Oryzias latipes: one gene and its partner. Each later gene encodes a partner of the first gene's protein in a complex. Links are inferred from orthologs where the notes say so. Each region holds a gene or a part of one and is shown in the gene's direction. Other genes may lie near its edges.

Region 1 (3,069 bases):
TCTGCCCGAACTGATGCGAGTGCCTAAAACTACATTAAAAAATACACTTTGATTTTAGATTATTAGAGAAATATTTGATCTTGAAATTGAATAAAACCTCTAAATACATGCTATTTTTTAAAATACTGCAGGTCCTCGTTTATTGAGGGAGTTATGTTCTAAAAATAACCTCCATCATTAGCTTTATTTTTTACAAATATTGTTAAAGGTTTAATACTGTGAGACTCCTCTCTGAGACTTCTCTCAGACAAATATTAATATTTCCTCTCTTATTCAAATGTTTAAAGTTCAAACCTTCGTTAAAAAAAAGTCCAGTATTATAGAATGAAAGCAAAGATTTGCTAACAATTGAATGTTTATTTAAATATTGCAAACTGAACGCGTTCTGTACACGAGACACCACACGTATGGGACTGATTGACAATGGTCTACAGCCAATCAGGATGCAGGACAGAATCCGCTGTTAAAAAAACAATTACAAGTGCACCAAAACTCTGCTAAAGGTGAATTGTGATATAGCGAGGGACCACTGTTAGAAATATGTTGACAGACCACAGAAAACTAAAAGGAAAGAACTTGCTCTATGATAAAGAAGCAAATCTAACTTAGTGTTTTTGGATCTGGTCAAAACAAAGAACAAAACCTTAGAAGAGTACCAGAACTCTGGATATTTCTGTAATCCTGCATTTGGTTATTTTTCTTGCCTCTAATGGCAATAACTGTTGAAGGGACAATGTAGTCATGACTTGATTAACTGCACATGAAGCTTAATGAATAGTTTGTGGTTCAATTGTTTGCTTACAAGAACTTCACATACATTAATTTAGATTATGCATGCAGTCACTTGAGAAATGTTGTCTGCAGTCGCGTAGAAGAGAAGTTCATTTGCTTCGACAGGCAAAGTGTTCCTGCAGATTCTTATCTCATTGTCATGATGCTAATAACTTAAAGACCTGTAGGATTTTACACAGCGTGTTCCATAGAGAAGACCTGGGAAAGTGGCGGCAATCGTTACCTCAGACTCACTGCAGAATCGCTTCAGTCCCACACAGAAAAGCAGATTGAGGGAAATTCAAAGTCTGTATAATTATCCTCATTTAAAACCTGTAATTCACAGTCGTTTCAAAAGGGGCTAAAAAACAAACAGAATTTGCTCAGTCACAATAGTTTTAAAGACGCTCTAATCGTTTTTATTTTTATTTTCAGCAGTGGTCTTTTAATTACGGTTATGCCGTTTCTAGCCCCCAAAAAACAGCTGTTTTTCGAGAACATAATTTCTGCAGGGCAGCAGTTGTTCATCAAAAGTTCATCTCTGACTTGTGGGCGGGACCGTTGGTGGAGAGCAACCCCGCCCCCTTCCCCCTCCTCGATGCAAAAATGGCGAGCAATATCGGAGCTATCGAGCTGTACAGTTTTGATTTTCTAATTTTGAACAGTGGGGTTTTAAAGAAAGTTATGAAAATAAATTGTAAACAAATCTTTTATCCTTTCTACACACTTTAAAAACCATGAAACGGTTTACTAAAATCCTAAAAATGCTTCTTAATAAGTTGAAAGCCCAAAACAGTTTGAGGTTTCCATTGGTTTGACTTTCTCTGTCCTGAAAGGACATTTCATGTGACAGCTTTTGCACTCGTGTCACACTTCTGGAGGTGACTTACCTTACAAACGAAGCCGTGAAAACCCGTTAAGTCAAATAAGTCTGTGCAAGAGTTCTCATCTTCCTCCATAAGTGAGACAATCATCTTCTAAAAGGTGACATTCCATGAAATCAGTCAGTCAACCTGCCACTTCTGTGACAGCCCATAGTTAGAATCCTCCGCTGACCTTCCTCTCCTGTTTTTTTTTTTTTTTTCTGTTTCTTTACGAGCAGGTGGAGGACTCTTCTTTCTCACTCAGTCACCCCAACCAGTACTTTATAGAGAGCCAGAAAGCTTTAGGTGGAGGCAAGGATCCAAAGAGGGATGTGGACGTTCCTCAGAAGGTGCAGGAAACCTCTCAGCATTTGGCAGAGACGGCTGAGGACCTGGAAGCTCTTTTTAAAGATGGCTGATTTCTCTCACTACATGGAGAAATCCTCCACCTTTTTCTATTGGAGATGGTTACATACTGTCTTCAAGCCTCTTGCATCACATTTGAATTATGCTTTTTCTTTTTTTTTAAGATTTTTTTTTTATATTCACCTTGTCAGATTGGAGCCTCCTGTAAAACTTGTAATAAACACATATTTAGCTCCTTTGCTTTCGCTGTGGACTGAACTCGCAGGGCTTAAATCTGGTCTCTGTTTGGATGGAGTTTGGCTTTTGGGGGAAACCGTAAACATTTCCTTGCTGTCCCCAAAACAATGTCTTTGTATTTGATGGCAGCTTAATGGATAAATGCTGACAGGAGGATGGATGAAAAAATAAACCATTTCCACAGTTGTATTACTCTGCCTTGGAATATTGCCTCATAATGCACAATGCAATTTATTCAAAGCAAATGAGGTGGCGAGATATTTCCCCCTCTCTCTGTCTGGCCCGTCTGCTTAATAATTTCCCAGAAATGGTGGCAAAAGTTGAGATTGCGTTGCTCCTGCAGTGCAAGACGGACTGTTTCTCTTATTTGGGTGTTATATTTATGTGCATGTCGAAACACTACATCATTCAGGCTGCACTTGCATCCACGTGTGGCAGCGCCGGAGAATCAGAGTCCCACATTCCTGCACGGAAATTGGGTCTTAAAATCCAGTCATGGTGCTTGACATGAAGAGGATTTATCCAGTATAATAAGACAACTGGATAACTGAAGGCGGGCGGCTGTCAGCAAGATACTTCTTGATGTTCAATATTTGGTAAAGCATGACTACATTTGACACCGCTGCCCCCCCCCTCGACAGTCTGAAGCCACGGATGTCCAAGACCATTTCTGCAGATGGATTTACAGTCATTAGCAGTGAACTGGCTTTACATTGCGCAGCTTTCTTATCCGCCACTCGTCTGACGGACTACAGGTGATGTGAGATTCTTAAAGAGAGCTCTCACAGGAGCTGATGCCCGGCGTGTTCCATGAAGCCGTTGGGAGGTTAAT
Region 2 (4,527 bases), on another chromosome or scaffold:
CAGCAAAGGTAAAGGATGTTCAAGGGTTGGCAAAATATCTTTTACCAGAGGCTCAGCAGTTCCTCAATGACTTAAGAGTTTGAGATACTAGGGGCAATGACGAGTCTCAATATGAAGATCAGATGTATCTTTTTGATAACCTGTTCCATTTTAGGAGGAAAACAAATCTGACTAGCACTTATCATGTAGCAGAAAAAGGGTTTGGATAGAAACTGATCCTAAGAAGTGTTAAGAATGTGACAGTTTGAAAAATAAAGATTCATGATGATAAATATGTGGTTTGTCCATTCTTTCCAGATGTTACTTCTGTTTAATTCAAGAAGGGCCCACGTCCAGAGACTTTAGTTTACTAGTCCTCTGAAATTACAAAAGTGAGGTGCTTCATATTATAGCATTTGTAAACTGTGATCTGGTGCTAAATCTGGGTAAAGTATTAATCATTTAGTGTTGCCTCCCTTTAAGCTATGCAATTAAAATAATTTCCTGGAAAAACAAACTTCTTGGACTTGGGCCCGTATTGAATTTACAGATTCAATTTTTTTAAAGGCAAAATAAGTTGTGAATATTCATTCAGTGGTAAAATACTTATTAAAACATTTTTTAGGAGTCTCTCAATGGGCACAAATTCAAGGATCTCTTTCGAAAAGAAAGAGTTACAATTTCGTCCAAAATTAACTGCTTATTGGATGTTTGACACTTAAAAGATGTATATTTTATGACCCACCAGAGAATGTTTTCTGAACACGAAACACAGCAAGACGTCATTTTTGTAGGATATGTCAGTATTTTATTCATTCAAATTTTTCACAGTAAAGCAGAAAATTGCCTACAATTTCGTAAAAGTTTTACCTTGTTATTTTTTTAATCTACTCACCAGTTTAAATGTCTATATGGCTCAACAATTAGGGGGAAAAGAAAGATTTTTTTTCCAGTCAGTTAGAAAATATAACTTCAAAACTTGAGCACTTGTTAGTTTGTCATTATTTATTTATTGTTGATTGTCTATTGTTCATGACAGTTTGACAAGGAAACCAAGTACAATAGCATAAAACCATATTTAGGTTTTGGATAATAATAATAATATTGATTTATTGTATATCTTACTTCTATTTCTGCCTTTTTAATAAGGATTTTTTTGACTTTTTATTTTTAGTTGGCCTCTTTTATTCTATTGTATTTGTGTGGTTTTATATGAATGATTGAACTATTGGTTTGTAATAAATTTTATCTATCTATTTCTTTTTTCCTTTCCTGTGTCCAGAGCATTGACTGCACGTAGAAATAACTACACACACACAGTCAATGGTGTAGAGCTGTAACGGGGACATACTTAAGCAAAAACAACTATAGACAGTTAAAAATAAACAAATAAAAGATAAACATATTTAAAACTATATATTTTTGCAAGAGTGCTATCCTTAAACAAAAACAGCACAAATTGTTTCAGTTTTACACGCCTCGGATGTATCTCTCCAACTAAACTACATTTCCCATAACCCTTCTCTAATTCGTCACTTCAGAAAAGAGGATGCACGGACATTTCCTGGTTGTGGTGACGTCGTGAACGGAAGTCCCCTGTGATTGGTTGTTTCTGTTCTAAGTTTTCCCGCGCGCTCTGCAGCAAGCAAACGCCACAGTGAGCGTTTTAGCAAGAAGAACAGACAAGCTAGCGTCTCGCTGGTATTTTTGAACCATTTACAATTGTTGTCAAAGCTGTAGCTTTATGAGAATGTCGTATTCAGACTACGACCCAGCTTGTCTCCCAGACTTATTACCGCTCTACTACCGGCGACTGTTCCCCTTCTCACAATATTATCGCTGGCTGAACTACGGCGGAGGTGAGTGTTATAAACAAACACACGCTGTGGAATGTAGAAGAAGTTAATGTTGGGATGCTAAACCGCTAAAGACTGTCAAATATTGAGTGCTTAAAGTTATCGATTGTGTTTATTCAGCCGCTGACAGGATATCTGAGAGCTGATTGTGTAACAACAACAAACCCAAACATTGACATCGATTAGGATTTTATGAAATATATATATAATCCTCCCACTTGTTTTTTTAAAACACATCTATTTAGTAGAACCTTATATTATTGTAAGTTGAATTCTAATTCATGGTTTAATTTAGCTGAATATTTGGTCAAAATAACAAGCGAATGTTTGAGCTAAAGCTTGTGTTTGGTTTCATAAAATGAACAGATCTTTCTTTCTTCCTGCTTTTCTTTCTCCTCAGTGCAAAAAAACTACTTTCAGAACCGGGAGTTCTCCTTCACTCTCAAGGATGACATCTATGTTCGCTACCAGTCATTCAGCACGCAGAACGAGCTGGAGAAGGAAATGCAGAAGATGAACCCTTACAAGATCGACATTGGAGCAGTTTACAGTCACAGGGTTGGTAACCGTGGTTCTGATGTTGCTTCTCTGAGCATCAATGCAGACATGCAGAAAGAGCTGATGGCTTCCTTTACACCTGCAGCCTAACCAACACAACACCGTAAAGTCTGGCAGCTTCCAGGCTCTGGAGAAGGAGCTTGTGTTTGACATTGACATGACCGACTACGATGATGTCCGCACCTGCTGCAGGTAGAACTATTGATATGCCATTACTTTGTAATGTCTTTGCTTTCTCCATAAATGTACTAAATATGTCAAAACTTCACTTGTAGTGCTGCAGATATTTGTTCCAAGTGCTGGACGCTGATGACCATCGCCATTCACATTCTGGACAGGGCTCTCCGAGGTTTGTCTTCAGTGTCTCTTCACCTCTTTTTCACTGCTCCACACCTATTTGAAGCCGCAGTCTGCTTTCTGGCATTTCCAGACGACTTTGGTTTCCAGCACTTGCTGTGGGTTTACTCCGGCAGAAGAGGAGTGCATTGCTGGGTGTGTGATGAAGCTGCCCGGAAGCTCTCTGCCGCAGGACGTTCCGCTGTGGCAGAATACCTCAGTCTGGTCAAGGTAATGTGGTGCAAATGGGTTTAATTTAACAGTTTATAAAAACAAAAGCGAAAGAGGTTTGCTTGTTTAAAAAATAGAGACAAGTGTGGAAGATTTCTTCGTAGTAACATTCAGTTCCCAACTGACAATTCATTTTGCCATTTTAAAATGTAAATTCAATGTAAAATAAGAATTCAATGTTACATTTTTAAAAATGTAATTTGAAATAAAAACCACTAGTCATAGGTTTTTGTTACCATAATTAAAATTACAAGTAAAAATGGATTTTGCAATTTATAATTCAATGTGGAATTTGGATATGCATATTGAAAATACATTTTCCAGTTTATAAATCACTATTAAAAATATATATATTTCAGTTACTTGTTTGTTTTACATTCATCCTAATTTAACATAAACTCTATTGCTTTTCTATTTGCCGTGATATTTCTCTGTCAAAATTCTAAAGAAACTGCAAAACATTTGTCAGTTTGGTATATTCATCTGCCACATGCGTTTCTAAATTGCATGATCAAATTGCAAATTTAATTGTTGATTGAGAATTGAATATTATTTTGAATTATGGGTGGAAAAAAAACTTCCATAAATAAGGGAACATTGTTGATACATTTTCATGCAGTTCCTGTAAATCTCTCTTTTTCAGTTTCTGTTTATTGAACTCATGTTTGCTTCGTAGGGCGGTGAGGAGACGGTGAAGAAAGTGGTCCTGACAGATCCAATTCATCCCTTTATCAGGTAATAACCCACATTTTAATGTTTCAAACGCATTCTATTTTTATCTGCAGTCCCACATCAGTGAATGGTGTGAATCTTTTATTTTTGGAGACTTTTAACCATTTTTAAAGCATCAAACTGTTCTGTTTTACTAGAATTGAACATTTTCTTCTGTTTAGGTTTCAGTTTGTTCAGATTTCCCACATTTGTAATCTTAACAGTGCATCTTTGGAAGTGGTGGAGAAATACTTTCTGGAATACGCGGTGCAGGACCAAGACATACTGGGTCGCAAGGAGTGTGTGGACAAAGTGCTGGCCCTTGTGCCTGAAGATATCCTTTTTTTTAAGTCACAAGTTTTGTGTTAATATGAGCCAATAAGATAAAACAATTACAACCTTAATACACAAAAACATGTCAGAAATGAATTGCAGACCAAAATGAAAGGTGTGAAGCAACCAGAAAAACTCTGGAAAATGATAAAAAATGAAGCTAAGAATAAGCAGGTTTGTACTTTTCTATAGGTTTATTTTATAACATCTTTTTTTCTTGTGCAGAAGGACGTCTGTTTTTTTTTCTTTTCTTAGGGTACTGTGAAAAAAGGCCAACACTTTGAAAAAGAAATCATGCTGCAGTACTGTTACCCTCGGCTCGACGTGAACGTCAGCAAAGGGGTGAACCATCTGCTCAAGAGTCCGTTCAGTGTCCATCCCAAAACAGGTGATTATGCCTTAAAAGGAGCAGAAAGTTTGCAGTCATTAAGACAAATTCATATAAATATGAAGCCAGATTTGACAAAAATGCAAATGTCATACAAGAATGTAAAAAACAACAACTGTCAAACTTTCAAATTAA

Evidence for each region.
Region 2: the proteins of prim2 (region 1) and prim1 are in contact, whole or in part, in a crystal structure (PDB 5EXR), measured with the Homo sapiens proteins. The link is inferred for Oryzias latipes from reciprocal best matches to the Homo sapiens genes PRIM2 and PRIM1. Residues at the interface, in NP_000938.2 of Homo sapiens: Glu165, Ala168, Ser169, Pro171, Ser172, Phe188, Ala189, Leu192, Phe195, Arg196, Gly197, Arg198, Val200, Tyr201, Leu202, Glu203, Asp204, Gly205, Phe206; in NP_000937.1 of Homo sapiens: Lys147, Glu148, Asp149, Phe150, Gly151, Phe152, Ala180, Val181, Gly184, Ile185, Glu187, Tyr188, Ser190, Leu191, Lys193, Lys207, Ile208, His209, Pro210, Ile212, Arg213.

What each region holds. Positions count from the first base shown.
Region 1 is NC_019873.2:24,463,341-24,466,409, forward strand, and holds the end of prim2 (DNA primase large subunit), read left to right. Parts: intron 1-1,873; coding exon 1,874-2,053; 3' UTR 2,054-2,429; downstream 2,430-3,069. UniProt on the Homo sapiens protein: Regulatory subunit of the DNA primase complex and component of the DNA polymerase alpha complex (also known as the alpha DNA polymerase-primase complex) which play an essential role in the initiation of DNA synthesis.
Region 2 is NC_019865.2:19,076,816-19,081,342, reverse strand, and holds the start of prim1 (DNA primase small subunit), read left to right. Parts: upstream 1-1,593; 5' UTR 1,594-1,723; coding exon 1,724-1,838; intron 1,839-2,235; coding exon 2,236-2,393; intron 2,394-2,478; coding exon 2,479-2,585; intron 2,586-2,668; coding exon 2,669-2,742; intron 2,743-2,823; coding exon 2,824-2,960; intron 2,961-3,636; coding exon 3,637-3,695; intron 3,696-3,895; coding exon 3,896-4,005; intron 4,006-4,086; coding exon 4,087-4,178; intron 4,179-4,259; coding exon 4,260-4,392; intron 4,393-4,527. UniProt on the Homo sapiens protein: Catalytic subunit of the DNA primase complex and component of the DNA polymerase alpha complex (also known as the alpha DNA polymerase-primase complex - primosome/replisome) which play an essential role in the initiation of DNA synthesis.